Mus musculus: one gene and its partners. The protein of the gene in region 7 interacts with the protein of the main gene of each other region in a pairwise test. Links are inferred from orthologs where the notes say so. Each region holds a gene or a part of one and is shown on either strand. Other genes may lie near its edges. The genes, in order: Rabac1, Paf1, Zmat2, Baz2b, Bysl, Scel and Fxr2.

Region 1 (4,148 bases), on a different chromosome or scaffold from region 7:
TGGGGGAGGCCCCTTGAAGTCATGCAGCCGGCATTATGATCAAGGTCTCGAGTTCCTGTTAATATCTTCTGGCTTTTTCCCAGTGCCACTTGCTCTGGGAAGCACAGGAAAGAGCTCAGAGCCAAGTCCCATCTCCCACAGCCTTCTCGGATGTCTCCTACTACCTACTGACTCAAAACCCATCTAACGTGAGCCTCCTCCCTCAGGAACCTGAAAGTACCCCCTGCCTCATCACATCTCTACCTCAGGGTCCTCGCTTCCACTGTCCCAAAGGACTCCTTTCCCAGCTTCCAGACACCTATCCTAAAAATCCCAGTATTCAAATTTCTTACATTCTTTGAATTAGTTTGCCACTTTCTGCAACAGTGTTGCCTCTGGATCCCACTGCCTTCTCCACTGCCTTCTCCCGAAGCCCCGACTCCCACCAGGGCAGCAGAGACTTGAGGGTCATGAAATAGAAAGAATTTGCTTAGTCCTCTTAAAGAAACTGAATTGGTTCCCATAGCAGTCAAACCCAGCTGACTTTTGCCGCCAAACTGGTTTCCAAGGTTCTCTGTCTTTTCCAGTACTCTGGCCTTGTGGTGTCCCTCTTTAGTCTTTAGGCTAACTGTACATTTGCAGTCCTCCACTGATCTGAAGCAATGCTGGACCCCAAGTGGGAAACCCAGACACAATTTCCTGCTGAGTGGCCCATACTGAAATCCCAACCCGGAGGAGTTCCGTTCCCAGCACCCATGATTTCTAGACAGCTCATAATTGCCTGTAACTCCAGTTCCAGGAGCTCTAAAACCCTCTTCTGGTGGCACACACGCATAAACATATAAAAGTAAATCTTTTCTTTTAAAATGCAAACATTTATTTTTAAATCATGTGTATCTGAGTGTGGGTATGTGCACATGAGTATGTCTGATTGGCTAGAGCTGGAGTTTCGGGCAGTTGTGAAGCACTGGGTGTGGATGCTGGGAACCAAGCTATGATCCTTTGAAAGAGAAACAAGTAAGCCATCTCTCCTGTCTCACTTTCAAAGTAAATACTTTTAGGAAAGAAAAAGTAAATGAACTCTTTCCCAGACTTGCCCAGTTAGAATCAGAATATCTGAGTTTTCGAACAATGTTTTATTAAGCTCTCTCGAGCCAGAACGACAGCTCTGCACGGTCCACGGAAGTACGTTTCTGCCATTCGAACTCCCACAAAATCCTCTGTCCTGACAGTCCACCTGCTGTAGTCCACGCTGAGCCTCCTGAAACTACAATTCCCACAATGCCTAGAGGCTCCCGACGAGCTCTTAGCATACATCTCCCAAGATGTCTTGCGAGGCAAACCTGCCTCTTGACGCCACGATGACTACAACACCCACAATGCTTGGAGGAACAACTACCGCCCTCTAGAGCTCCCAACGACGCCACTTCCAAAGAGTCCCGGCTGGGGTGGGGCCGCCTAGGTGCTGCTGGGCTCCGGGCTATTTACAGCGGTTCTATCCACTGCAGTGCAGACATGGCGGCCCAGAAGGACCAGCAGAAGGATGCCGAAGGGGAAGGGCTGAGCGCCACGTGAGCAAGCAGGGTGTTACCCCCAGATCCGAGATGCAGGAGTCCCTCATCTCCTCAGAGGTCCTGGGAGGGACTCAGTCCTGTTGGCTCCCTCTCAGGACCCTTCCTCCTAGGGGTTCAAGGTCATGCTTGGGACCAGGTGTGCTAGAATCTGGGGTCCAGATTCTACCCTCTCCCTCCCTTCAGCTGCTCTGCTCTGCCCTGCCCATTAGGACCCTGCTGCCCAAGCTGATTCCATCCGGCGCAGGCCGAGAGTGGCTGGAGCGGCGCCGGGCGACCATCCGGCCCTGGGGCACCTTCGTGGACCAGCAACGTTTCTCGCGACCCCGCAATGTGGGAGAGCTTTGCCAGCGCCTGGTACGCAACGTGGAGTATTATCAAAGCAACTACGTGTTCGTGTTTCTCGGCCTCATCCTGTACTGCGTGTGAGTGCCTCTGCGGCCCCGCCCTCGATAGTCAGACCCCGCCCCCGGCTGCCAGGCCCCGCCCAGACCAGTTAGCCCACTTTGTCACTACAGGACCCGGTCAGTCTGTACTCCTGCATTCACCTGACCAGGATGTGGCCTTCGCTGGCCTAGAAGGACGTAACCTCAGTCTGTGTCCAAAGCTAGAGGGGCCTGGCTGACGCAGCCTCGGATACCTAACTCCTGTCTCCCACACTCTTCCAGGGTGACATCTCCCATGCTGCTGGTGGCTCTGGCTGTCTTCTTTGGCGCCTGTTACATTCTCTATCTGCGCACGTTGCAGTCTAAGCTTGTACTCTTTGGTAAGAAATCTCCTGCCCAAATGGCTCCTCGGGCCTTTCTGATCGTGGTCTCACGGAATGCAAACTTCCGAATAGTTGGGACCCAAGACGGCCCCCACCGAGCTGTCCACTAGAGTCACTTAACTTGGTCTTTAAGGGCTTAGACCCACCAGGTGCTCCCCTCCAGTCTCAGCTTCCCAAACCCAGAGAGACCCCAAAGCCCTGGCACCTCTGTCTCTTGTAAATGACTTAATCCAATTCCACTCAACCCCCCCCCCCCCCCCCCACGGAACGCATCAGCTGCAGATACCCACACTGCACACCAGGTGGCGACCTCATGCAGGCCTAGATCCGTGTTCCTTCCCAAGTCTTGGCCCTGATGATTCTCAGAGGGGAAGGCTGAGATCTGTAAGTCCGGTGGCCCCAGACTGTCACCAGGACCACTGGAAAGAAAGGTGTCAGGGAAGACCCAATGAGGGGAATCCAAAAGTTTCCGAGGAGACTTAAAATAAGTCTTTCATAGCCCAGCAAGCTTAAGGACCAAACAAAGATAGGCTGTGGCAAAGAAATAGACTGAAGCAGGTCAGAACTTGGCTTCTGCAGGTAGTGGTCACTAGGACATACACACTTTTCAGGCATAGGAGAGCGTGGGGCGGGGGTGGAGGAAATTAATATATATGTACTAGGGTTTAAAGAGTGTGTTGCTATGCCCTAGCCTTAAAAAATGTGTAATGCGGGCCCTCTGGAAGAATACGTGCTTTTAACTCCTGAGTCACCTTCTCCAGCCCCCACAAACCAAATTCTCGCAAGGTGCATCAAAGAACACATCCTTAAAACCAGAAGCTGGCCTGTGCCTCTAATCCCAGCACTTGGGAAGCTAAAACAGGAGGATTGCTACAAGTTCAGGATAAGCCTAGCCGGGCGGTGGTGGCGCATGCCTTTGATCCCAGCACTCGGGAGGCAGAGGCAGGCGGATTTCTGAGTTTGAGGCCAGCCTGGTCTACAAAGTGAGTTCCAGGACAGCCAGGGCTACACAGAGAAACCCTGTCAAAAAAAAAAAAAAATCAAAATAAGTGCCTAGAGAGATGGTTCAGCAGTTGAGTACTCAGTTGAGTACTGTTCTTGGTTTGGTTCCAAGCACCCAAGTCAGGTGGGTGCCCATGGCCACCTCCTCATGGGCACCTGATCTTGGGCACGTATGCGTGCAGGGCATATACACACAATTCAAAGAAATAAATCTTAACAAAGGAAAAAAGGGGACAAAAATCCTTAGGTCAGATTTGACTGTGGAGCCACCAGCCTGAGACTCCCGGTGACCAGGGTGGAACATCAGGCCCTAGTCTGAAGTGACCTGAGGGCTCCTGGGAGAGGTGAAGCTAGACAGCAGAGGTGGGGCAGAGGAAGGTTGTTATGGGGACAGGGGGCTTTGGGGAGGCAGGGTAGGGGCCAGGTATGGGAGACACTGATGTGAGGAGTCTGTATTATTACATGGAAGGTTCCAGAGTCTGTGACACTAGATGGGTGGAAAGTGACCCTGGACACTTGTGGGAAAGGGTCGGGTGGGAACGGCTACCTTACACCATCTGTTCCCAGGCCGGGAGGTGAGCCCAGCACATCAGTATGCCCTGGCTGGTGGCGTCTCTTTCCCCTTCTTCTGGCTGGCCGGTGCTGGCTCTGCTGTCTTCTGGGTCCTGGGTGAGTACAGGGTCTGTGTAGGGTGAGGCTGGGAGCCAGGCGAAAGAGCACAGCCTGAACCACCCATCCCCCTACAGGAGCCACGCTGGTACTCATAGGCTCCCACGCTGCCTTCCACCAGATGGAGCCTGCAGATGGCGAGGAGCTGCAGATGGAAC
Region 2 (3,888 bases), on a different chromosome or scaffold from region 7:
CCCACAAGCCGGTCCAGTCTTGTCTTGTTCACTTCCCATCAGGGTGACTGACCCTGCCTGGCACTGGAAGGTGATGAGGGATACCCTCCCCAAGAGGGAGGTGAGAGCTTCCCACCCATCTGACAGCAGAGTGCAGGACGCAGGCGGCCTCGCTCTGACAGGCAGGACCCTGACCCTCCCACCCCCATGCCCCTCCATGGTTTCACCCTACCCTACCCACTTCTGTCCCCAGCCCCACTGGCAGAATCAGCTTTGAGTAACTGTACATTTTTCTCGCTGTTGGAAAAGACTTATTTGTTGAAGTTTCGATTGTTAATGGTCTGGGCTTATTTTGGAAAACAAAAAAAACAAAAACAAAATAACCAAAAAGACTCTTCATTTTTCTTATGATGCATTTCCTGGGAATCCATGGGGACTTGATTTTGTACTTCTTGGGGGGGGGAAGGGGGGCGGCAGCGGCAAGATGATGTGAAGGGGAACAGAGACTTTAGGAGATGAAGTCAAGAGAAGTTAGGTTTATTAACAGCAAAGATTGAGGGGTAGTGACAAAAGCTCACAAAACAGACAACTAGAAAAGTGCTTCCCTGCCCTAAAAATGGTGTCTGTGCTGATCTCATTAGAAAGCCTTGAGGCTCAATCACTGTCACTGTCAGCCTCACTGGAATCAGAGGCTGCTGCTTCACTGCCATCTTCCTGAGCTGAGTGCTCACTGCCACTGGGGAAGGGGCTGGCACTCCGGCTACGACTCCTGCTCTGGCTGCGGCTCCTCTGGCCACCACCATCACTGCCGCTGTCCGAGTCATTGTCACTGCCCCTGTGGGCCTGCCCTCTGTCCTCATCATCAGAGTCAGCATCATCTTCTGAATCAGCATCACTACCAAAAATCTCCTCTTTGTCCCGGGCAGCACGTGCTTCATCCTCACTGCTTTCATCCTCACCGCTGCCACTCTTGTCACTTGCCTCATCTCTGTCACCCTCTTCTCGGTCACTCTCACTTCCAGAGTGTTCATCCTCGCTGCCTTCTTTCTCACTGCTGCTACCCTTCTCCTGTTCCTCATCTGTGAGGAAGTAGGGGACTGGTGAGATCCCAATGCCCACCCTCCCAGGGCTCCCAGGATGTGACTAATCCTTTACCTGAGCCCCCAGCTTCTTTCTCTTCAGCCTCCATCTCTTCCTCCTCCTCTTCCTCTGGTTCGTGGTTTTCCAACTGGGCCTTTCGTGCCTCCTGAAACCAGCAAATTGGGAAGAAGATGAAAGAAATCTATCAGACCTCTGATGCCATCCTTACCCACTAGACTCCCTTTGGGCATCCTGGGCCAGTACAGCTTACCTGGGCTTCTAATTCCTTCTCATTCATGTCACGGTGTTTGACGACAAGCAAGGCATTGGTACCTGACTGAACCCCAGCCTTGGCCCGGCGCTTACTTAGACGGACCCTGCAGTGGACAATTGCAGAAGGGGAGTTGGGCTCCACTAGGACCAGTCTAACATCTGGTTCCCTATCAATATTTGACCCAGAACATAACAGAGGACAAAGTATACATACAGTGGATGTGAAAGATGGTATTTCGGGTTTGACTTACCCAACTTTTAAGTTTTCAGGGTTTTTTTTGTTTCAAGATTTTAATTGAATGGGTGGTTTGCCTGTATGTGTGTTGTGTTGTAGTACCCCAAGAAGCCGCAAGAGAGCATCAGAATCTCTTGGGAACTGGGATATAAGCTGAGGTCTTCTGAAGAGCAGCCAGTGTTCATCACTGCTAAGTCATTTTCCAAGGCCTCTTATCCAAAGCATAAAACCAAGAAAATGGCAAACGTGTGTTTCTGGATTTTAAATAGAAGAGCAGTGGACTTGCAGCTGTATTGTAGTACTCACTAAAGGTGATGCCACTGCCTGTTTTCACATCTCCAGCCAGACAACAGGATCAGAGCCATATTGAACCACTGGCACTAGGACAAGTTAGCTTTCAGCCCTCAGAGAAAGGTTCTGAGGTCACACAACAAGGGCACACTTTTGAAGTTGTGTCAAGTATTTAAAACCTGCTGAAGGGTATAGGAGATGGTTCTGTTGGTAAAGTGTCATGGTGGAACAGGAAAGAATAACTCTTGCCCCAAGTTATCCTCTAACATCCAAGTGCATGCCAGGTCATGCATATGACTATATACATATGCATACATGCACACAAAATAAAAGCAACAAAGGAAAACTGATTGCAACCTCTGGCTCCAGTATGTGCACGCATGAACATAAACATGTCACATACAAAAAGCTTATTAAAACTGTTGAGACGGGCTGGTAAGATGGCTCAGTGGGTAAGAGCACCCGACTGCTCTTCCGAAGGTCCAGAGTTCAAATCCCAGCAACCACATGGTGGCTCACAACCATCCGCAACAAGATCTGACTCCCTCTTCTGGAGTGTCTGAGGACAGCTACAGTGTACTTACATATATTAATAAAATAAATCTTTTAAAAAAAAAAAAAAACTGTTGAGACTAGGAATGTATCATACAGGAGGGCACTTGCCTATCATGTGTGAGAAAAATGACTAGATTTATATCCTGCATTATGTGAAAATTTTCTTTCTGGTTTATGGCATTAAGACCACAGCCAGGTCCAGCCTACATTTATAAGCAGGCTCCTGCTGCTCTCTTTTTTTTTTTTTTTTTTTTTTTTTAGATTTATTTATTTATTTATTATATGTAAGTACGCTGTAGCTGTCCTAGCATGGTCTTTAAAGGGGGGAGAGGGGGGCGTGGTAGTGCATACCTTTAATCCCAGCACTTGGGAGGCAGAGGCAGGCGGATCTCTGAGTTCGAAGCCAGCCTGGTCTACAAAGTGAGTTCCAGGACAGCCAGGGCTACACAAAGAAACCCTGTCTCAAAAAAAAGGGGGGGGGGGACCACAAAGGGCCAAAGTCATGAAACAGTGCCGAGTACCTGGTCTCCAGCTCATTGTAGTAAACTCCGTCACCCTCTCTGAAGATGAAGAAATAGTTCTCCTCATAGCCCTTACTGGCCTTGTTCTTCACATTCCAGTTGTATTCCCGAGCAATCTTATAGTCATACCTGGGAAGAAGATACACAGCCCATTGATTCATGAGGAGGAGACATACTTCTGAATTCTAAAACCTGACCCTGACCCTAACCCTAACCCACTTACACATCATCTGGTGCATAGTCCATCTCTTCCTCTTGGTCCCGCTTTCGTTTCTTTAGTGTTTCTTCCACAGGCAGAAAATAAGCCACAAACTGGTTCCCTTCCTCATCCATCATGCCCCTGGTTTGGGGGAGAAGAGGGTACAAAGGTCAAAAGCAAAGAAGTAACAAAGCTAGGTGTGGTGACACATGCCTATACATTCAACATTCCAGAGATTGAGGCAGGAGGAATGCAAGGAGCCTAGAGGTCAGCCAGGACAACAGGATCATAACCCATCTCAAAAATACTCAAACATGGGAGAGGCAGCAAGGAGCACACAAGGTAGAAAGCAAGACCACAGACCTGATCATGGCCTGAGACATCATCTCTAATGCAGCTGCACCACTTGTGTCCTTGGGGGCTGGGTCTGAGTCAAAAATGACCTGAGCACATGGGTTTATCCACATCTGGGAAATAGAAAGATACTAAAGTTAGTAAGGACTGGACAGGCACAAGTAGCAACCCCCGCCTCTTTCCCTGAGTCTGACCTTAAAATCTGGGAAGACAGGCATGACCTCCACTGGTGTCACTCGGGGCTTGCTGTAATGCTGGGAGATCTGATAGAACAAAAAGGGTGAGAAAGAGGAAGACCCTGAGCCACACTCTTGCCTCTATTCTATTCCCCCCAATTACCGATTTCTGGGCATCTTCAAAAGTCTTTTCAATGGCTGTGATTTGGCTGTCCCTGTCTTTGT
Region 3 (4,095 bases), on a different chromosome or scaffold from region 7:
GTGAGCGGAGGAAGAGGGCCACCCTCGGTCCACAAGGAAAACACTCCAAGCTGGGGAGCAGGGTTAGCAGAGCCTCACCTCTTCTCTGAGCTCCTTCATCCTTTCCTCAAAATCATAATCTTTCTGCTTCTCTTCCATCTTCTTCTTGTTCACCTCAAAACGCTTCTTTACCTGATCCAGAGTGGAGCGTTCCACGCGCATGGACATACCCAGGTTTCGCTGATCTGGGTGAGGTTAACAACGGAGACAAGTCATTATAACATCCTCAGCCACCCCCCCCCCCCCCGGGAAAGTCTCGCCCTGGCTTTTTTAGGTTTGTTTACTTGTTTACCTTTTCATAATAAAGTACACAACAAAAATAACTATGGCTAAAAGAAGCTCTCAGCCTCACCTGCTCCTATTTACTGGGCAGATTATCATCAAGGCCAGCCAACGTCCTCCTCTGGCCTCTGTGGTCATGCACAGGTAGCACACAGCCAGGGATACTCAGAAGCAAGCAAGCAAACAAACGAACAAACGAAAGGCCCCAGAAAACCACTCTACCACACCTGCCCTCCAGCACACCTTTAAAACCCAACCCAGCTCCAGCCACCAACTACCTCCATGCCTTACGTTTCTTTCCATTAATGTGGTCCAGGAAGTTAATGGAGTCTTTCACCACACAGTCACAGACATTGCAGTAGTAGCTGACAAATGGGAAGAAACAGCACATGGGTCAATCTGGTTTCTAAGGATCTTACTGTTTTCAGGAAAGAAACTCAAATCTCTAGGTAAAATTAGATGATGTCTAATTAATGTCTCAATTAACAAAACAGACAAACTTCACATGACTTGCTTTAGGGAAAGTCCCTCTTTACACTTCATTGTGAATGACCTTACAAGCAGGCCCAGAGAATAAACTTGAGCCTCCGAACCACAGGCACGGGAGGGCCTGGAAGAGGACCTTCTAACTTTATTTAAGCCCCAACGAATGCAAACCTAGTCAATTCCACAACTGCGGCTTTATTAGAGACCCAGGTCCAGAACCTCCAAGGTGACCACCCCTCAATTCCTTGCCCACAGAAACTATGAGCTATTATTATGTTATGCTGCTAACTATTTAATGTACACAGCAAAGGAATCACAACAGTGGATTGCTATCTGTCTGAGTCTCCTGATGTAAGTTGTAACTTTGACAGACTTTAAGGAATGGTGGCAAAGGGTGACAAGGTCCGTGAAACTCTTCGATAGGTCACAATCTTGGTGCACAAAAACTATAGTTAACAGCTCCACCTAAAACCCACCCCGAGCCTTCAGGTCTTCTAACAGACTATATAGCCCCCCTGAAGATATCAGGGAAGTATTACAGTACCAATAGGAAGAAGCCCAGAGAACCACCCCTCCTAGAAATAGGACCGAGTGGGCTACAAACTTCAGGGGACAAAGAAAGACAAAGAATCAGGTTATGGTCAGAACGGTGGCCATCCCTGGGCCCAGGATTCTCCTCAACACTTCCTAAAAACCAATACAGTTTATTAGGCCAGCTGTGGTATTAAGAGTCGGACAGGAAGCAACTCACCCTCCCATTTCAGACTGTGGGGTCGTCTTGGTGATAACAATCGTCTTCCCCAGCTTGGACTCCAGGTCCACCTTGTAATCCCTGTGCCGCAGAAGCTCCCGCTTGACAGGCTGCACTGGTTTCCCTGAAAGGAAAAAGATTATGAACCCCAAAATTCAGAAGACTACTCATGCTTTTTTTTTTTTTCTTTTTAATTCCTCAAAGAACGGACACAACAGGTACTTTATGTAGCAATTCAAAGAGGCTAGGAAAGACTCTAATTGGCCTGGACTTATATAGACATAGGCCTGGTCACTATGTGGACCAAGCTGGCCTCAGACTTGCAATGGTACTGCCAACTCTCAAGAGCTTTTCTCCCTTTAAAGCCAGCAAATGTAAACAGTGTTTCCTATGTGTTGTCTAGTTGAACTGAGGAGTTCTGAATTTTTCCTGGAGGTGACCCTTTCAAAAGAGGGGTACTCACACCGAGTAGCGTATGTTCAATGTTTTCATGCAGTTACATCTGGAATCAACTAAGACCCAAGCAGCTGGACACGCTTGTTTGGGAGGTTTTGATTTGATTTGATTTGGAATATGGGCTACGCCTAGGGGAAGCTCACGTAAAAAGGAGAGGAAAAAGCTTTAGGGCTTTTGTTTTGTTCTGTTTTGTTTTGTTTTGTTTTGTTTGCCTCGTTAACTGCAAGTGATTTATCTATCCTGTTGCTGAGGCATTCCTTCTCTAGCCACAGCATCATCTCTACCGTCCCCTTATCCCTTCGTGGAGCGAGCACCCACCATCCTTCTTCTCTCTCTCCTCTGTGAGTCTCTTCTCCGCGAGCTTCTCATATTCATCTTTGTCCCACTTTCGGCGAAAGTCCAAGTTTTTTGTCTGTAGGGGGGGAAAAGGTGCTCAAGATACGTAGCTGTGCCTGTTGCCCTGGAGAAACTAAGGGAACCGCCTAACGGCCACCGGGGCGGCCCCAGGACCTTTCGGAAGAGAAGTCTCTCTGGAACGCCCAGGGGTCTGGTGGACTCGGGACCCCCAACCCGAGAGACTTCCGAGATTCCACTGTCCCTGCGCCAAGGCCTTACGGGGGAGCTCTCGAACCTGAACCCTGAGATCGCGAAGAGGTGTCAGGAAGTCAGTCAAATCTCACAGCCTGTCTCTATTTAGCTCTGAAAAGCCATCCCCCAGACCCCTCAAACCTCGTCACACCAACACCTACCCCGCTGCCAGACGCCATCTTCACAGCGAAGTGAATGGGAAGCCGTAAAGTGCAGTAAAACGCGCCCTGGAGCCAGAAGGCAAGATCACGCTCCAATAAGATCCGAGCCTCTCATTCTGACTGCGTTAGGACTGGAGCGATTCTAAGGCAGTCCTGTTGGCCCCGCCCTCTGCTCCAGGGAGATGGCGCAGGCGCAAAGGGAGTGTGAAGCTACACGGAAGTAAGGGCACGGGCCAACGTTTTTCTCTCTGGCTTTAAAAACAAGCCCAGAAGAATAGCTCATCTCTTCTATTATGCAAAGAATCAGAGTTTTGAAAATAGTGCTCCATGATCTAACCAACTTTACCTGATTTCTAGGGGTTTCTTTGTTTTGTTTTGTTTTTTACCGGATTTCTAGTTTTGGTTGTTTTGGTTTTTTTTTTTTTTTTAAAGACAGGTTCTCAGGTAGCCAAAACTGAACTCTAATTGGCTATATAGTCTCTAATCTTGAACTTCTGATCTCTCCTGCCTCTACTTCCCAAGTGCTGAATTTATGGGGCATGTACCACCACGACCGGTTCATGTGGTCCTAGAGGCTTCATTCATGCTATCAAGCTCAATTCTACCAATTGAGCTAGGTTCCCTGCTAGGCAATTTCCTGCCTAGCAAACCTCTTCCACAAACAACATATTTTAAGCACTCGTTAGAGTGGCGAATGCTTCATTCTAGGGTGTTGGCTGATTCTGTTTTCAAGATTAAATTGTACTGTATAAATGAAATGAGTTTAGATGTTCTCCAGACATCAAAATGAGTTTAACCAAAAAGTAGCACTAATTTTTTTGGCGGCGCAGGGGTGGTGGTGGGGGTCAGGGGTAGTAGTGGTGGAGGGGACAATGTAAAACTACTTGTCTTCTGTGCATAATTTAGAGCCACATTCATAGTACATGCTGGTGAATGGGGCATCTACAGTCACAAGTGTTTTAGTCTTTAAAATACGGTTTGCTAGGCAAATTAGAGTTCAGTTTTGGCCTGAACTTATTGCCACCACTTTCTAAGAGGGATTACAGGGATTATAGGTGTGGTATGTTTGTAGACAAGGTCTCACTATTTGGCCCTGGCTGGCCTGAAAATCTCTTTGTAGAGATTCCTTGGTATATTACTAGAGTCACAGGACCTCTGCCCTTCTGTGTTCCCCTAAAGACCTCCCTCTTTGAGGCTGCGTTCCCCAAATTCCCCCTGCATCTTACCCTCTTCATCTATCCAACCTGCTGTCTAAACATTAAACCCCTCTTATGTCCTGCTAGTTTTAATCTTTACTCTTATTCAAGTGACCCTACACTCAAGAGATTCCCC
Region 4 (3,500 bases), on a different chromosome or scaffold from region 7:
GTTTGGGACTAGGAAAATCTACTGGCTTTGCTACTTCAACAGCCACTGGCTGAGCGCTGGAGGGTCTTTCAGCTGGAGGGACTGGAGAGTCACTTTTACTTGAAGCAACACTGGAAGTCAAGAATGAACTACTGCCATTTCCTTCTGGCAGTCCCAACCCTGAGCCGAGAGCAGGCAAAGGTGATGTAAATGGGACGTTGGAAGCGAGCACTCCAGCAGGCCACCCACAGAACTGAAGTCCCATCATAGACACACCACCTTTCACCTGTAAAACACAACATTTCAACCCCAGATTAGGGTTCTGTCGGTAAGGGCACCTAATACTAGGCCTGATGTCCCTGGGGCCCACATGATGGAAAGAACCAACTCCTGCAAGTTACCCTCTGATACATAATAACAAAACATTTAAAAATGTTGCATAATAATAAAAACATTTAAAAAACCAAATACCAATTCATCTAAAGAGTTGGAGGAATGTTTAGAAATTATTTTTCAAATTCTAAAACTCTTACCTTTTTACCAGAGAAAACCTAAATCCATTAGCAACAATGTTAACTTTCATGTTGTATCTGTTCCTGAAGAGTAATTACATGTTTGCTATCCTGCAACTGTAATGAACTGAATATTGAGGTCAACCTAGACACTGGTTAGACAATAGCGGTGCCAATGAAGCTTGGTGACAGAAATCCTGGCTGCTTGGGATTTCAGGCCTGTTAGGATATTTTAACTTTGATCTCTGTGAAGATCACTAAGGGTTCAGTGAGGTGCTGGCACAGTGTGTTTTGTCAGCATCACTAACCTGAAGAGGCGACAGAGCAAACGGGTTCAGTCCAGGGGGGCTCTGAACAGAAGAGGGTCCGAGCAGTGCAGCTGGGGCCGGCGAAGGTGACTTAGATGGTGGCTGAGACTGAGGAGTCACCAGAGTGGTGGACAGGTCAGCGTGGGTCAGGGACGTGTCATCGCAAGGTGTTTTTGGCAAAAGGCTAAACCACTGTCTGTTCTTTTCAGTCAGTGTTTTTAACAGCTGGTCATTGGGGAGAGGACTGTAGAACTTCCCACAACTGCCGGAGCCTGAGCTAAAGAGACTGGCGTCTGTCTTTCCCACGGGGCTTTGTGCTGTTGTTGCTGAGGGAACGCTCCCCAGTGGATGCTTCCCGCTGTTCTGATGAGACAGTGGGCCCCCGTTTGTACTAACATTCACTTTTGGGGGGGTCATAACATCTGACTCAGGAGGCATTTTAGCTACCTCTAAAAGCTTGCTTAACTTGGAGAAAGAGCCTGGTTTCTGAAGAAATAGATTTGTGTTATCTTTCTCTTTTGGGTCGTCTTTCTGCTCGCAGTGATCTCTAATGGAACAGTTTAATGTCTCCGCAGAAGTCTCAAATACTTCTTCTTTGATCTGGAGACTCTCTGCCTTTTTAAGCTTTTCTTTTTCTTTTGCAATTTCTTCTAGGCCTACAAAAGTAAAAGATTCCATTAAAGAAAATTATTACACAACAAACCACTAATGGAGTTAAACTGTATTATTCACCAAATCATATGTATATGAAGCAAACTCCTGTATTATCTTATATTCTGCATTTTTTCCTATGGAATTTCTTTCACTCATTAGAAACTTAGTATATATTCACTATAAAGATTAAACTATGGGGGCTAGGGAGATGGCTTGCGGGGGTAGGAATGTTTGCTGTGCAACTGCAAAGACTTGAGTTTGAATCCCAGCACCCACATAAAGAATGGGCATATATGACTGCACATGTATGGAATCAAGTGTTGGAAGGCAGAGCAGAGAGCTCCTAGGAGCCTGCAGCCAAGAACAGCTCCTCGTTCAGTCAGGGACCCCAACAGAAGACAATAAAATCAAGAGAGGTAAAGAAAGACATCCAATGTCCTCCTCTGCCTTCCACGTGTATGGCACAGACACACATACAACACATAACCCTGTCCCAAAGGTTCAATCATTAAAAACAAAATCTGCAGAGTGAAAACCACTAGATCTACATAACACTCCAAGGAGTTCACCATGAATCACTCAGCCTATGTAATCTGAAAAAGGGAACCTGATCTAGACTAGCTGATTAAATTAATTGGAAATATCAATAAATATATAACTACATCTACATGATTCTAAATGGATGACATCATGACTGACCTGTCAAGAGACTAGGCAGAGCGTAACTGCCACTATTAACAATACATGATATGTATTTTCATTTTTTTTTGTATTTTTCATATCTATTTTCTTGGGCAAATTCTTTAAAACATGCAACTTAAGCTATATACTTGTAACAGTTCTTGAAGCATACTTGGATCAACTGTACCCCAAATACACTTGTACCAGAAGCACACAAGGGTAGCTAGTTTTCTACATCCTCAACAAAATTGTATGCTGTCAATATTTTTTTCCTTGCCAATGCCCAGGAGGTAAAAAACTAATCTGGATCACATTTGATCACTAGTTGACTAATTATCTTCTTTATGATTTATTATTTCTTCTATAATTCTATCAGAAAAGTAACAGACTTTCCGGTTAAAATCTTCAGTCATGTAGAGTGCAGTCCCCTCACCCTTACCTCCCCTCAGTGGGAGTCATGTTTAATCAATTCTATGTATGTATAACGAAGTTACACATACCAGTTAGTATCTAGCTTCTGGCGTTCATCATTTTTCATATTTATTTCTCATTTGAATGGCTTCTTTGGAGACACATTTGTTTATGTCCATTTTACATTGTGTGTATACATGTGTGTCAACATATGTGTATGTGTGTGCTGCTTATGGTTTGTAGTACTGTATAAATAGAATTCTGTAAACTCCTCTGCAATAGAGGATAAAATCCCAAGTCCTTTCTAAGGCCTTAGCATTCTATAAGATCTGAGTGAAAACCCCTATAATCCCCACACCACTGGCCTTTCTCCCCACTTTCTGCTCCTCAGTGTGTTAAGACTTTCCTTCAGGCCTTTGTGCTTTCTGATCTCTTGCAGGATAGTGTTCTATCTACTATTTCTTGGCCTCCATGTCTATAAGAGCTGTTTCTTCTCACTCACCTTGGAATACTTCCTTTAGAGTTCACCATTAAACACACTGATCTCCCCTTTAGTCCTCCCCTTGTGTGTCCAGTGGACTTCAAGCCAATAAGCTCTCCTTACCACGGGGCTGCTATAAAATAAAGGGTTAATACATGTCCCAGTGATGGCACTAGAGGATGGAGTTGGGGCCGCAGCTACAGTGCGCTGACAGCCAGCGCTGCTGTGGCGTGCACTGGGCACCTAGGTTCAGCCCCTCAGAGTGTGGAGCGTGTTTAATTCTCTCTGAAGCTCTAGTGAGAGCATCCCATGGCAAGAAGCGCCAGGAGCTTCGTTGTGATCATCTGCATGACACAGAGTGTCATTTGTCACCAGGTCTTGGGAAACATTTAAAAGCGCTCACATCCTTCTCTTGACTTAGCTTCGAAATGGAATGAATTCTATAGGTCATGCTAATTCTTTTTCTGGGCAGCT
Region 5 (4,109 bases), on a different chromosome or scaffold from region 7:
TCTACACACATCATGCCACGCACATGCACACAAAATACATGTTAAACAAAGGAAGACAAGAGCTATGAAATACGACGTAGGGAAAAGAGAGAAAATCAGGAGACAGTCACTGACATTTGTGTGGTGTTTTGTTGTTGTGATCATTTGCTTTTTGTATATGAGTGAACCCTGCATCATGGAAGTGACTCTTGGGAGCTGATGACCTTGTTTTTGAAACAGGATTTGACTGGGACCTGGGGATAGCTGATTAGGCTAGACTGGTTGCCCAGTAGGCCCAAGAGATCTGTCTTCTACACTGTAGCTCAGAAACTACAAGCTGCTGTGAGTGGAAGTCAGGGCTCATGCTCTCTCAAAGCATGGACCTCACCAGCTGTGAGCATTATCTTATCCTGTCCCTAGCTTGTGGTCAGACCTGAAACAGAGACAGACCAGACAGGACGCCATCAATCTCTAGCTGCTGAATGGACCACAGAGGTCACAGAATTCAAAGCACGATGTTTCCACAGTGATCCAGGGGAGAGACCCTGGTAGCTTAATCAGGGAGTGTCTCAGGTGAATGGAAAGTGGTCTGGCTCTGAAATACTCTAAAGACAACATCACCAGGATTTACTTTGAAGTGAGAAAGAGGAAGCCTGGACTCTGACTGGAGCAGTGGAGCTAATGTGCTAACAACCTCCAAGTAGCAAACAGAGAGCAAGTTTGGGAAGGAAGTCACAACTTCTGTTTTAGATGCAATCTTCTTCTTTTATTTTTTTTTTTCCTTCTCCGAGACAGGGCTTCTCTAGGTAGCCTTGGCTGTCCTGGAACTCACTTTGTAGACCAGGCTGTCCTTGAACTCAGAAATCCACCTGCCTCTGCCTTGTAAGTGCTGGGATTAAAGGCGTGCGCCACCACTGCCCTGCTTGGACGCAATCTTACTAGAGTTAGATACTAGTATTCAACTTGGAGATGTCAGGTAGACCACTGGATATAAAGATGTGAGCTTTCTTGGACGAACTCTGAGGGAGAAAAAACTGGAAGTAGCTGTCAAACAAATGGCCTCAAAGTGAAATTCCCTGACGACACCACAGAAGGACCGTCAAACCTTGTCTTGGTCACCCAGCAAGTTCAAGTCCAGCCTGAACAACTTAACGAGACTCAGTCTCAGAGTTAAAAAAAAAAAGTTATTTTAAGGGCAGGTGTGGTGTCACCCACCTATCATGCCACCACATGGAAAACAGAGGCAAGATCAGGAGTTCAAGGTCAGCCTCCCCTACAGCATTAGATGCCATCCCAGGCTCCATGAGCCCTTACTTTAAAAAAAACTAAAAGAAACAGAAAAAGCTGCTGTAGGCCCAAAACCATGTTCAAATGTGTCAATATTGCTTTTTAGGAGAAATAAGAATGGAAGATTAAGCAACTGGGAGGTGAACAACAATTCCTCCCCAGTGAGACAGGTGGCAGTACCCACCCCTCTTCCCCCTTTTAGCCCGTAAACAATACTGTTTCCCCTCCCCTGTCGCTGGGACAGGGACAGTCCCCACTTGCTTTTCAGGTCTTATTCGAAGGACATGAAATCTGGGATACCCACCATGTAGAATTAATGTTCATCTGCTTTTTTGTTTAAATAGAAATATCATCACTTTTTTCCTCTCTCTTGAGAGACAGGGCTCGTTAATCTGAAATTTACTATATAGCCAAGAAGGTCTTCTGCCTTGCTTCTCGAGTGCTGGGATTACAGGTGAGCCTCGCCACTCCTGCTTGGAATATGTAACTCTATTTAATGGGTGCCTTGAGCTAGACTTCCGGTGTTATCAGGAGGAACGAATATCTTATTTCTGTATCAAAACTGCCTAAAAACTTAACACAGCTCAAAACATTATGCAGGCAGTCCACAAATACTTCAAACGCCCAGAGGATAAATAAATAAATGCTAGACCACCAGGTGGTGGTGGTACCCGCCTTTACTTGGGAGGCAGAGGCAGGCAGCTTTATGAGTTCGAGGCCAGCCTGGTCTACAAAGTGAGTTCCAGGACAGCCAGGGCTATACAGAGAAACCCTGTCTCGAAAAAAACCTAAAATAAAATAATGCTAGAACTGGTGTGAGAGATCACTTTTCGTTGGCTTAACTCTGAATTCTGGAATTCAGGAGTGGAAGTGGAGGAACACGCCGGTAAAGTATTCTGATGGGGTGTCAGACCGGCCCAACTCACGACTCCACCCCTTGTCACTCACCCAGCCGCGTGGCGCGCTCTCGCGGTGGTGCTGACCGATCACCAGCCCCATGGTCAGTTTCGAGCTCCTCCTGCTGTTGTCTGGCTTGCTGCAAAATCCGTCTGCTTAGCCGGGGTCCCACATACTCTTCCTCCTCTTCGACCTCACGCCCCCGCCGTTTTTCTCGGGTCCCCGCGCGCACTGCGTTCCCAGCCAGGATCTGCTCGGCCAGAGGTGCATGCTTCTCCCGATTGCTGGCCCCACGTGTCACCTTGAATTTGGGCATTTTGGCCGAAAAAATTGCCCACCAGGTTCACACGTGTGAAGCCGGCTAAAAAGCCGATACTGCGCTTGCGCTGTGTGTTCCGATCGCCAAGAGGCCACTGAGAGATCACAGTGCCCCCCAGCGTTAGGAGGCCGGAAGTTCCTCATCTATTACTCTCAGGAAGAGCTTCGGGACCTATAGCAGGAGCCCCCAAATTCTCAGGTAATCTCATTAGAAAGGTGGATGTCCAAGTCACCCTTTTCCAGAATTCATGAAAGTAGCCTAGGGCGTCCTGTCAACCCGTTGGACGCCTTGGGGGCGGAGCCGAGTCGATGACGTTCTAGAAATGTCACCACTGGGTACCAGAGATGGCGCTCCCTGTGGGCGTGTCGCCGCGGCGCTCAGTATTTGCGCATTTCCGGCGGTCGATCAACGACTGCTTCCTGTGTTTAGGGGGCCGCCGTTCGCGTGAAGGTCTGGAGTCTCTGAGTTCGAGGGTTTGGAGGCGCCACCTTTTGATCCTTCGCTATGGGAGTGACGTGGTAGGACTTGAAGGGCTTCTGTGGTGACGGAGCATATAGGGTCGTGAAGGTGTCTGTGGGCCTGTGATGGCCCGGGGAAAGGGATTTTGACCGAGGTTCTCGGTTCCTCGGGGGGCTGACCAAGATGTCTTCCGGTTGTGTGGATGGGGGACACTGCGTGGGACTTCTCTCTTCCCAGACACACCCCTTTGGCAAAGGGAGCAGCGCATCCCTAGGACCCGCCAGGAGTTGTACCTTTTTCTTGGTACCTCTTCCTGTCCTTGAGGCCTTGTAGTGTCGCTACTAGCACCCAAAGGTTAGAAATAGGGTTTCTAGATTAGGAGTTGTTCGCAGAAAGGGATAAGAGTGGCGCGAGGAGAAAGTGACTTTTCTATTTTGCTTGCAGTTACAGACTTTGAATTGGCCATTTTAAGGTGTTGGGGCTAGTGACAGAGGTAGGAGGAAAGGAGCGGTTGGGAGTTTGGAGTTCGGAGTACCAGGCAGAGACAATTTTTCGAGCTGGGTGTCTCACTGTGTAGGCTTGGGAGGCCCGGAACTCACTCTGTAGAACAGGCTGGACTCGAATTCACAGAGATCCACCTGCCTCTCTCTGCCTCTCAAGCGCACGGATGAAACGGACGCGAGCCACCATCGCCTGGGCTTCAGACAGTTTTGATTGACTTTTATCTTAAACATGTTTGAAGTCTCACTTGATAAAAAGGCAGTTGGTAAGGTTTGGGCACCGTGCTTTTCTGGGTATTAATTTTAAAGTACTCGGCCTCAGCACTTAAAAGTCTTGGTAGTGGTGTGCTTCTTTCCAGTTAAAGAAGCTTGGAGGCCAGGGGCCACAGGTCTGCCCTGTGAAAGGAAGGCTCTTGCCACAGTTGACACTAGGAGCCTCATCTCATACTTCTACCCTACTGTAAAGAATGCCTGTGAGCAATGAAGACAGATCACAGCAGAGTCATTTAGAGTTCAGTTTCCCTGTTTGCAGTAAGTTGATACAGGACAGGGCCTTTCCTGGGGCCTTTGGAAGAGTCAGGCAATCCATCTGAGGGCTGATGCCTTTGATTCCAACATTTGGGAGGCAGAGTCAGGCAAGTTTCTGTGAATTCCAGGCCAGCCTGGTC
Region 6 (3,253 bases), on a different chromosome or scaffold from region 7:
TAGTCCAGGGAGCTTCACCAGAGAAGTTCTCTATGCAAAGGAGCCAAAAGAATGGTTTACAAATCAGCTGTGGCAAGGACAAGATAACCAACTAATGTCTCAAACAATAAAACGGACTTGTATTCATCCTTTGTTTCCACAAGGGAGAGCTGTGTGACTCAGGCACAACCTGCCGAACCAAACAAAATGCTGGTCACACAGGGATGCGGGAGGGTGTGAGGAGTTGTACCAGTTACAGAGCAGGGGAAGGTTGGCCTCCATTTTTCTTAGACATGGCTGCTGATTGGCCAGGTTTAAAAATACTGGTTGGTTTTCAAGATGAATCACTAAAGCAAATTGTCTTTGATCCCTATATTAAACATTTAAACTAGTTTAAGTGGTTTTCTGTTGCACTGGCTGTAGAGTAATTTGTCTTTTTCTCTGAGCATGAGCGTAATTTTTGAGTGTCATGGTCTCTAATATGTCAAATGGAAATGAATCACATAAAATGCAATGAATGGAAGTTATTCCTATTTACCAAAAGCAATAACCAGAAGAATTTCTATTTTAGAAAATTTTATGCATACCAATTTAAAAATCTAAAGGTATATACGTTTATTTAATGGAGTATATTTTGCAACTAGAAATACTTTCATCTTATGACTAAACAATTCAATTGCTTCATTTTCTTTTTATTTTACATTATTTTTATTAGATATTTTCTTCATTTACATTTCCAATGCTATCCCAAAAGTCCCCCATGCCCTCCCTCCCCACTCCCCTACCCACCCACTCCCACTTCTTGGCCCTGGCATTCCCCTGTACTTAGGCATATAAAGTTTGCAAGACCAATGGGCCTCTCTTTCCACTGATGGCCGAATAGGTCATCTTCTGCTACATATGCAGCTAGAGACATGAGCTCCAGGGGGTACTGGTTAGCTCATATTGTTGTTCCACCCATAGGGTTGCAGACCCCTTTAGCTCCTTGGGTACTTTCTCTAGCTCCTCCATTGGGGGCGCTGTGCTCCATCCAATAGCTGACTGTGAGCATCCACTTCTGTGTTTGCTAGGCCCCGGCATAATCTCACAGAGACAGCTATATCAGGGTCCTTTCAGCAAAATCTTGCTAGTGTATGCAATGGTGTCAGCATTTGGAGGCTGATTATGGGATGGATCCCTGGATAGGGCAGTCTCTAGATGGTCCATCCATCTTATACTTTTATAATCCTATATTGTGCTATGGTTTCATTTGCCTATTTATTTATTTATTTGTTTATTTATTTATTTACTGGAATCACATATGCCATGAGACTCAAGAGACAGTCAGTAAACAACTTCGTTCTTTCCTTCCAGAATGCGGTCTCTAATGATGAGGACTTAGATCCTCAGATTGGCTTCAGGTGAGACACATGCTGAGCCATCCTGCCGGCCTGGATACCTGATTTTATATTAAAATAATGCACCATGGTTTTGATTGCTAGGTAACTGGTGGATAAACCACCAATGGACACAGTCGTTCATCTATTTGGCTAAAATAAATAATTTGCATCTAAAGGTCTTAGGCTTTTCACATTGGATGCACATGAGATAAATCTAAGGAGCCTCTAAAGCAACTAGTGTCCGAAAATAATCTCTGCAATCTTAAATTTCCTGTCTGAGTATTCTAAGGCTTTTTTTTCTCTTAATCAGTCTTTATGATTTTATACTTGCAACCAGTGTTGAGAAGCAAATCCCAGTCAATGATCTATTTTCTAGCTAAGGAAACCAAAGCTTGGTCATCTGATTGCCCAAATGCACCGGCCACCATACTGAAGGGCAGAGGTTGAACTGAGGTCTTCAGACACCCAGTACAGAGCTCACACAGTCGCACTGAGATGTGACATGTGTGGACAGACACAACACACAAGCCCAGGTGAGAAGGAGCTGAACAAAGCGAAACGTGGAAGTGTTTGCCATTGAACATGTCTGCCACTTGCTCAGCCACAATGGACCATGGGTTCCACAGCACACTGCTTAGATTGCTGTGAAGTCTTGAACTCATGACAAGAGCTAGCTTTATGTTCAACAGTCTACTGTCTATGTATGATTCCATTACATACATGATGCAACACACAGTTTATTAAAATGTTACAGAAAATTAAGAATGACAAATGCTTATCTTTTCCACAGACCGAAGTCTCCTAAGAGATGGGTGAGTGACAGATTCTAAGCCTAAAACCGAGGGAGTAATTATAGACCTTTGAGGGTGACGCTGCAGAGCACCTAGGGACATGAGTAGCATGGTATTGATGTGGGTCACAGAGCGTTTAAAGCTTTGGCTTCACACTAAGCACTTCAGTAGGTGCATTTCCCTTGGCGTTGTGCCACATTCCTCACACTCCAACATGAAGTGAGCACGCACTTACCTTAAAGCAGGTGGAATGGCAACAGATCTGTAATTCATCTAAAATCATCTTGGTTTCCACCCCCAAGGGCTTGCGGCAGTAAGTGCACATGTCTCTTTCAATGACAGACCTGTAGTGACGATAGAATTAAAAACCATTTAAAATTTGCCGTCACGTAGGGACAGGTGTGTGCCCTCTAAAGTCACACGAGACTGTGTTGATACTGATGGGGTTTTAGGATGTAAGAACATCAAGGAAACAACACACAGGAAAAGCCTCACATGATTCATTTACCAGCCATCAAGAGCAAGGGCAGAAAAAGATGCTCAGTTTCCCAGTTAAACTAAATCAGAAGCATTCCTTGAAGCTAGAAGAACATTTTAACGAGTTTACATAGATCTCTCTATACACTGCATAGGGAGACTGGACAGCAGATTGATGCAAATTTTCATTTCTGAAAACATTCAATAGGCCCCAAATAGAACTCAATTTGGGGATGTGTTTATAAACTCACAAGGAGCCTGCTACAAATTGATGAGGAAAAAAGTGGTTTTTCTTACTTATTTTAGAAACTTAATCTTCAACAATAAATGAACTATAGATATGATCAACAGTCAAAAATCTGAAATCATGGCAGACTTTAAATAAAGACCCTTTTCCTTTTGAAAGGTTTTAGAATTGTAAACAGCTCCCAGTAGATTTTTCTGGTTTTATAGCATTATTAGCAAGCAGGGCCAAAATATCCAGAATAGCATACATGAAAGGGCAATGAAATGAAAATACATAATACTTATGCAGTGCATGCATACATTAATGTTGTCATGATCTGCATCCTTGTATTCTCTTGCCATGCTACTGAGAGAACTATTTGAGTGACTCTGACTATACAT
Region 7 (4,260 bases):
ATCTCCCTTTCTTGGTCACAGAGCTCTGGTTCATCCCACTGTGGATTTGATAATCTCCCAGAGACACGTGGTCCTTCAAACTCCTGTACCATTGGGCCGCTATCAAGTTCTTCAAGTTTCTGATGGTGTCATCTGTGTTGCATTTAACCCTGACTTCCTTTCCAAGAAGGTTGTTGTTAGCAGCCTCAATCATTGTGGTGGCAGCTTAAATCTTGACGACACAACCTGTAGTTTGAACACTGATCCTATTTTATTTTGTTAAGTATTTATTTAATGTATATGAGTACACTATTGCTGTTTTCAAATACACCAGAATAGGGTACCAGTTCCCATTATAGATGATTGTGAGCCACCATGGGGTTGCTGGGAATTTAACTCAATACCTCTGGAAGAGTAGTCAGTGCTCTTAACCACTGAGCCATCTCTCCACCTCACACCCCTTATTTTTACAAAAAAAAAAAAAAAATCTGTTATACGTGTGGGTGACCACGAGTGATGTTATATGTATGATGTTCAGGAGACAACTTGCAGGAGGATATCTCCTTCCATTTTGTGGTCTAGGAATACAATTCCCGTTAAGCTTCGTATTCGAGCCATCTCTCTCTCTCTCTTTTGTTACTCCATGACAGTTTTTCCTGTATTGAATCCCCTCAGAATTTATGCATCAAGTTATGTGGCATTTTGTTTTTCATACGGCACTAAATTTACTAGAATACTAGTCAACTTAGGGCAAGCATGGTAATGACATGGCTGTAATTTTTGCACTTGGGAGGTGGAGGTTGGAGGACCTATTCAAGGTCATTCCCCCACTACCTAGTTAGTTCATGGTCAGCCTAGGACACAAGAGACCCTGTCTCACAAAACTTAAAAAAAAAAAAAAAAAAAAAAAAAAAAAAAGTCTACTTAAGCCAACAACAGTGACTCTTGATTCTCCTATGGATGCAGAGAGTCAACACATGCGCATGGACACCAAAGCCCAGCGCCTGCGCACTGGGCAGTTTTTGCCTTTTGGTTCCCCCCCCCCCCCCCTTTTTGGAGTGTGCGCACCAAGAAAGACAAAGGTGGTGAAAGTGACCAAGCAGTCATTCGGGCGCATGCCCATCCCTAAATTGCCCAGGCTCCATGGGGCTCACTTTGTGGAGGCGGAAGTCCAATCCGATGCAGCGAGCGCGGCCCCCCTCTCCCTTTGATTGGTTTGCTTCCAGTGTTGTGGGGCGGGGAAAGGAAGGGACAGGGACAGTGGAAGGTTGGAGTGGTACAGAGAGCGTTCGCCTCGTTCTGCGCAAGCGCAGAGAGGCGACCAGGAGGGGGCGTGAGAGAGTGCAAGAGAATGTGGAAGCCCTGACGCGCTGGCGAGCGGGAGCTGGGTCGCTAGCCTAGACGCCTGCGCCTTGGCCCTCCGGCTCCGCGCGCGGCGGGCGGGTGCCCTGTGCGCCTGCGCAGTAGGCGGCGGCAGCAGGGGGAGGTGGAGGCCGTGGAGCGGCAGCGGCGGGTCCCGGGACCGAGGCAGCAGCGGGGGCGCCGGCGGGCGGAAGCTGAGGTGACGAAGGCGGCGGCGGCGGCGGCGGCCGTTTCCCTCACGGTGGCGGAGACCAAGGCAGCGGCGGCGGCGGCGGACGGGGAGCGGCCCGGCCCCGGCCCCCTGCTCGTCGGCTGTAGCAGGGCCGCCGTGGGGCCGGCCCGGCTCCCGCCCCCCGCGGCTCCCCCTCCGGCTCCTCCTCCAGGGAGACGCCGGGGACCCGGCCCGGCCCGCACTCAGGGCTCTGTTTCAGCTGCTGCCGGGCCAGTCGGAGGTGGTGGCGGCGCCATGGGCGGCCTGGCCTCTGGGGGGGATGTGGAGCCGGGACTGCCCGTCGAGGTGCGGGGCTCCAACGGGGCCTTCTACAAGGTGAGACGGCGCGTCGACCCGGGCCACCCTCCTTAGCCCCCTCCCCCAGCCGAGGCAGGGAAGAGTGGAGCGGGATCGAGTTTCTGGAGCTTGGTCTTGACCCTTAGAACCTTCGACCCACGTTCCCACTCGAAACCCTCCCGTGGCGATCGTGGGAGTTAACCCTCGTGCTTTTATTTTGAGCTCGCTGTTACACCTGCTTTTATCAGCTGAAAACATGGCCATCAGGTCATTCCTGTGCGGGGATGGGAGCCCCGGGTCCCTTTGGAGAAAGCCCTTTTCCTAGCTTCTAATCGACTTTTCTTGTTTTTTTTTTTTTTTTTTTTTTTTTTTTTTTTTTTTTTTTTTAGTGTAGGCGATACTTCAGCTTTTAATCACATCACCCCTGCAGCCCAAGCACATGGAGGATTCGCATTCTTTTCCTACATGACCCCCTTGGGAAGGTCCACTGTCCCACATTAGGTCTTCAGGGAGCCTTCTGCCTACTGGCTCTAGACCATTTGCTCAACTTTTGGTCTTAAATTCCTGTTCCCAGGCTGACAAGAAATGGTCAAAACCCATCTGTGTTATTTAGCATTAGCATCTTTGGCCTCAGGTTTTTATCAGCCAGCCATAAAGTGGATTTGTTGGACAAGTTTGTCACCCACCACACCTATATTCCAAAATCACCTATGAGGGATGGATTCACGCTTATCTCTTTGACTCTAGATATATTTAGGTCATTCCTCTATCTTCTTGGTAAGTTTAAGCTTCACTGTCTCTCAAAGGCCATCTCAACAAGTTCTTATTCTAACAGATTTCTGCTTGTTGACAATCCTTCTGGAAAGAAAAAAAGTATCTTTCAGAATTGCTTCTTTAATCAGCTTTTTCTTTGCCTAAGATTTGATTCCTGTGAACTTTTTTAAGGGGTGTGGTTGGGACAAGATCCCCTCCCTGGCTGCACTTGAACTCTTCCTCAGCCTAGGATTACAGCTCTGGCGTTACTGGTTGAGCCACCATGCCAGACCAGACTTTTGTTTTTTCCTTCTTTCTATCCACCACCCACCCCATCTTCTGTATCTGTCCTGAGTCTATTCTGGATCCCACGCCCCAGATATTTTCTTCTTCTGATCAGTGGGGTTCTGAACATCTTTTGACTTTTATGAGTGGAATTGTCCCGGACACGTTTGGTCCCTCTCTTACTCTTCATCCTGGAGAGAAAGAGGAATTTCCATAGCATGAGATGGGTGAGAAGAGCCCCTTTTTCTTCAGGTTTCCTCAGGTTGTCTGTCCCCCTACCCTAGTAGAACTTCTACTTTCTTATGCCCTTGGAAATAACTTTCTCTGACTCTACTATGAAATTGTATCTTTTTTGTAGCTGAAAAAAGACTTAGGTTTGCCCTACCCCTGTAGATGGTTCCTACCCTCACTTCAACTGATATGCTAGTTATCCATTATAAAGGCCAGGCCATTTTTTTCCCTTTTCTGATCAAGTTCTTTACCCAGTGCCTATGGGTGCACATACCTATTAGCTTTAATGCAGCTTCTCAACTAAGTCTCGGTCTTTTTAGCTTGGTATTTCTGTATTCCTGTGTATCCTTGATGATGTCTACCTGTCTAGTCTGTGTATAGCTGAAGAAGGCTCCTAGCTGATTCTGTCACTTTCCTAACTCTTGGTACTTTTTCTTCAGACCAGAACAGTGTCTCTAACATTTCTGTTTTCTGTAGCAAAAGTCTTTAATTCTTTTGGCTTCTGAGAGGACACATTAATGTTTTAATATCTATTTCACCCACATTTGTATTACCTTTGTTAAAACAGTCTCCTCAGGCTGGGTATGGTGGTACATACTCTAACCCTAGTACTTAGAAGGCTAAAGTAGGATTGTTGAAGTTCAAAACCAGCATGGGGAATGGAATCCAGTCTAAAACAACCCAAACAAACCCAAAAAGTACTCTTTATTATGCTCTCTTTTCCTCGATATGTTAGTCTTCATCTGTATCCTTCTAACATCAAAATGTTAAAAATTCCAAAAAAGCTGTGTGTAGGTGTGTGTGTGTATATACATACATACACACACACACACCTACACACACACCCACCCCCGTTCGATTTCTGGGTACAGGATTTCTCTATGTAGCCGTGGCTGCCCTGAACTCAAACTCTGTGGGATAGGTCTGCCTTTGTTGAGTGCTGGGATTAAAAGCATCCACAACTACTCTTAGTTTGAAAAGTGGTTCTTAAATTGAGTATGAGATCAAGATAAGATATTTGCATTTGGTTTAAGGAAGCTCAGGAGCCATGCACAGCTGGGACAGATGAGTGCTCAGTTCCAATTAACTGTATGACATGGTTGGGCTGGGACATGAATTCTGTTACACATATGGGTATCCAA

The links.
Region 1: the proteins of Fxr2 (region 7) and Rabac1 interact in binary tests that used the Homo sapiens proteins (3 or more experiments, as listed by UniProt). The two-hybrid records come from large-scale screens. The link is inferred for Mus musculus from reciprocal best matches to the Homo sapiens genes FXR2 and RABAC1.
Region 2: the proteins of Fxr2 (region 7) and Paf1 interact in binary tests that used the Homo sapiens proteins (3 or more experiments, as listed by UniProt). The two-hybrid records come from large-scale screens. The link is inferred for Mus musculus from reciprocal best matches to the Homo sapiens genes FXR2 and PAF1.
Region 3: the proteins of Fxr2 (region 7) and Zmat2 interact in binary tests that used the Homo sapiens proteins (3 or more experiments, as listed by UniProt). The two-hybrid records come from large-scale screens. The link is inferred for Mus musculus from reciprocal best matches to the Homo sapiens genes FXR2 and ZMAT2.
Region 4: the proteins of Fxr2 (region 7) and Baz2b interact in binary tests that used the Homo sapiens proteins (3 or more experiments, as listed by UniProt). The two-hybrid records come from large-scale screens. The link is inferred for Mus musculus from reciprocal best matches to the Homo sapiens genes FXR2 and BAZ2B.
Region 5: the proteins of Fxr2 (region 7) and Bysl interact in binary tests that used the Homo sapiens proteins (3 or more experiments, as listed by UniProt). The two-hybrid records come from large-scale screens. The link is inferred for Mus musculus from reciprocal best matches to the Homo sapiens genes FXR2 and BYSL.
Region 6: the proteins of Fxr2 (region 7) and Scel interact in binary tests that used the Homo sapiens proteins (3 or more experiments, as listed by UniProt). The two-hybrid records come from large-scale screens. The link is inferred for Mus musculus from reciprocal best matches to the Homo sapiens genes FXR2 and SCEL.

Annotation. Positions count from the first base shown.
Region 1 is NC_000073.6:24,969,929-24,974,076, reverse strand, and holds the start of Rabac1 (prenylated Rab acceptor protein 1), read left to right. Parts: upstream 1-1,348; 5' UTR 1,349-1,494; coding exon 1,495-1,550; intron 1,551-1,762; coding exon 1,763-1,975; intron 1,976-2,218; coding exon 2,219-2,316; intron 2,317-3,888; coding exon 3,889-3,990; intron 3,991-4,001; exon of another isoform or gene 4,002-4,067; coding exon 4,068-4,148. UniProt on the Homo sapiens protein: General Rab protein regulator required for vesicle formation from the Golgi complex. May control vesicle docking and fusion by mediating the action of Rab GTPases to the SNARE complexes.
Region 2 is NC_000073.6:28,395,996-28,399,883, reverse strand, and holds the end of Paf1 (RNA polymerase II-associated factor 1 homolog), read right to left. Parts: coding exon 3,827-3,888; intron 3,751-3,826; coding exon 3,682-3,750; intron 3,601-3,681; coding exon 3,497-3,600; intron 3,275-3,496; coding exon 3,158-3,274; intron 3,064-3,157; coding exon 2,935-3,063; intron 1,437-2,934; coding exon 1,331-1,436; intron 1,226-1,330; coding exon 1,135-1,225; intron 1,059-1,134; coding exon 634-1,058; 3' UTR 501-633; downstream 1-500. UniProt on the Homo sapiens protein: Component of the PAF1 complex (PAF1C) which has multiple functions during transcription by RNA polymerase II and is implicated in regulation of development and maintenance of embryonic stem cell pluripotency.
Region 3 is NC_000084.6:36,792,628-36,796,722, reverse strand, and holds the start of Zmat2 (zinc finger matrin-type protein 2), read right to left. Parts: upstream 2,801-4,095; 5' UTR 2,782-2,800; coding exon 2,764-2,781; intron 2,427-2,763; coding exon 2,333-2,426; intron 1,683-2,332; coding exon 1,559-1,682; intron 687-1,558; coding exon 613-686; intron 225-612; coding exon 79-224; intron 1-78. UniProt on the Homo sapiens protein: Involved in pre-mRNA splicing as a component of the spliceosome.
Region 4 is NC_000068.7:59,912,741-59,916,240, forward strand, and holds part of Baz2b (bromodomain adjacent to zinc finger domain protein 2B), read right to left. Parts: intron 1,456-3,500; coding exon 800-1,455; intron 266-799; coding exon 1-265. UniProt on the Homo sapiens protein: Regulatory subunit of the ATP-dependent BRF-1 and BRF-5 ISWI chromatin remodeling complexes, which form ordered nucleosome arrays on chromatin and facilitate access to DNA during DNA-templated processes such as DNA replication, transcription, and repair.
Region 5 is NC_000083.6:47,608,693-47,612,801, forward strand, and holds the start of Bysl (bystin), read right to left. Parts: upstream 2,801-4,109; 5' UTR 2,480-2,800; coding exon 2,215-2,479; intron 1-2,214. Other genes in the region: Med20 (mediator of RNA polymerase II transcription subunit 20), read left to right, coding at 2,987-3,000; Gm20517 (predicted gene 20517), read left to right, coding at 2,987-3,000. UniProt on the Homo sapiens protein: Required for processing of 20S pre-rRNA precursor and biogenesis of 40S ribosomal subunits. May be required for trophinin-dependent regulation of cell adhesion during implantation of human embryos.
Region 6 is NC_000080.6:103,607,341-103,610,593, reverse strand, and holds part of Scel (sciellin), read right to left. Parts: intron 2,494-3,253; coding exon 2,385-2,493; intron 1-2,384. UniProt on the Homo sapiens protein: May function in the assembly or regulation of proteins in the cornified envelope. The LIM domain may be involved in homotypic or heterotypic associations and may function to localize sciellin to the cornified envelope.
Region 7 is NC_000077.6:69,631,511-69,635,770, forward strand, and holds the start of Fxr2 (fragile X mental retardation syndrome-related protein 2), read left to right. Parts: upstream 1-1,460; 5' UTR 1,461-1,807; coding exon 1,808-1,888; intron 1,889-3,889; exon of another isoform or gene 3,890-4,009; intron 4,010-4,260. UniProt on the Homo sapiens protein: mRNA-binding protein that acts as a regulator of mRNAs translation and/or stability, and which is required for adult hippocampal neurogenesis. Specifically binds to AU-rich elements (AREs) in the 3'-UTR of target mRNAs.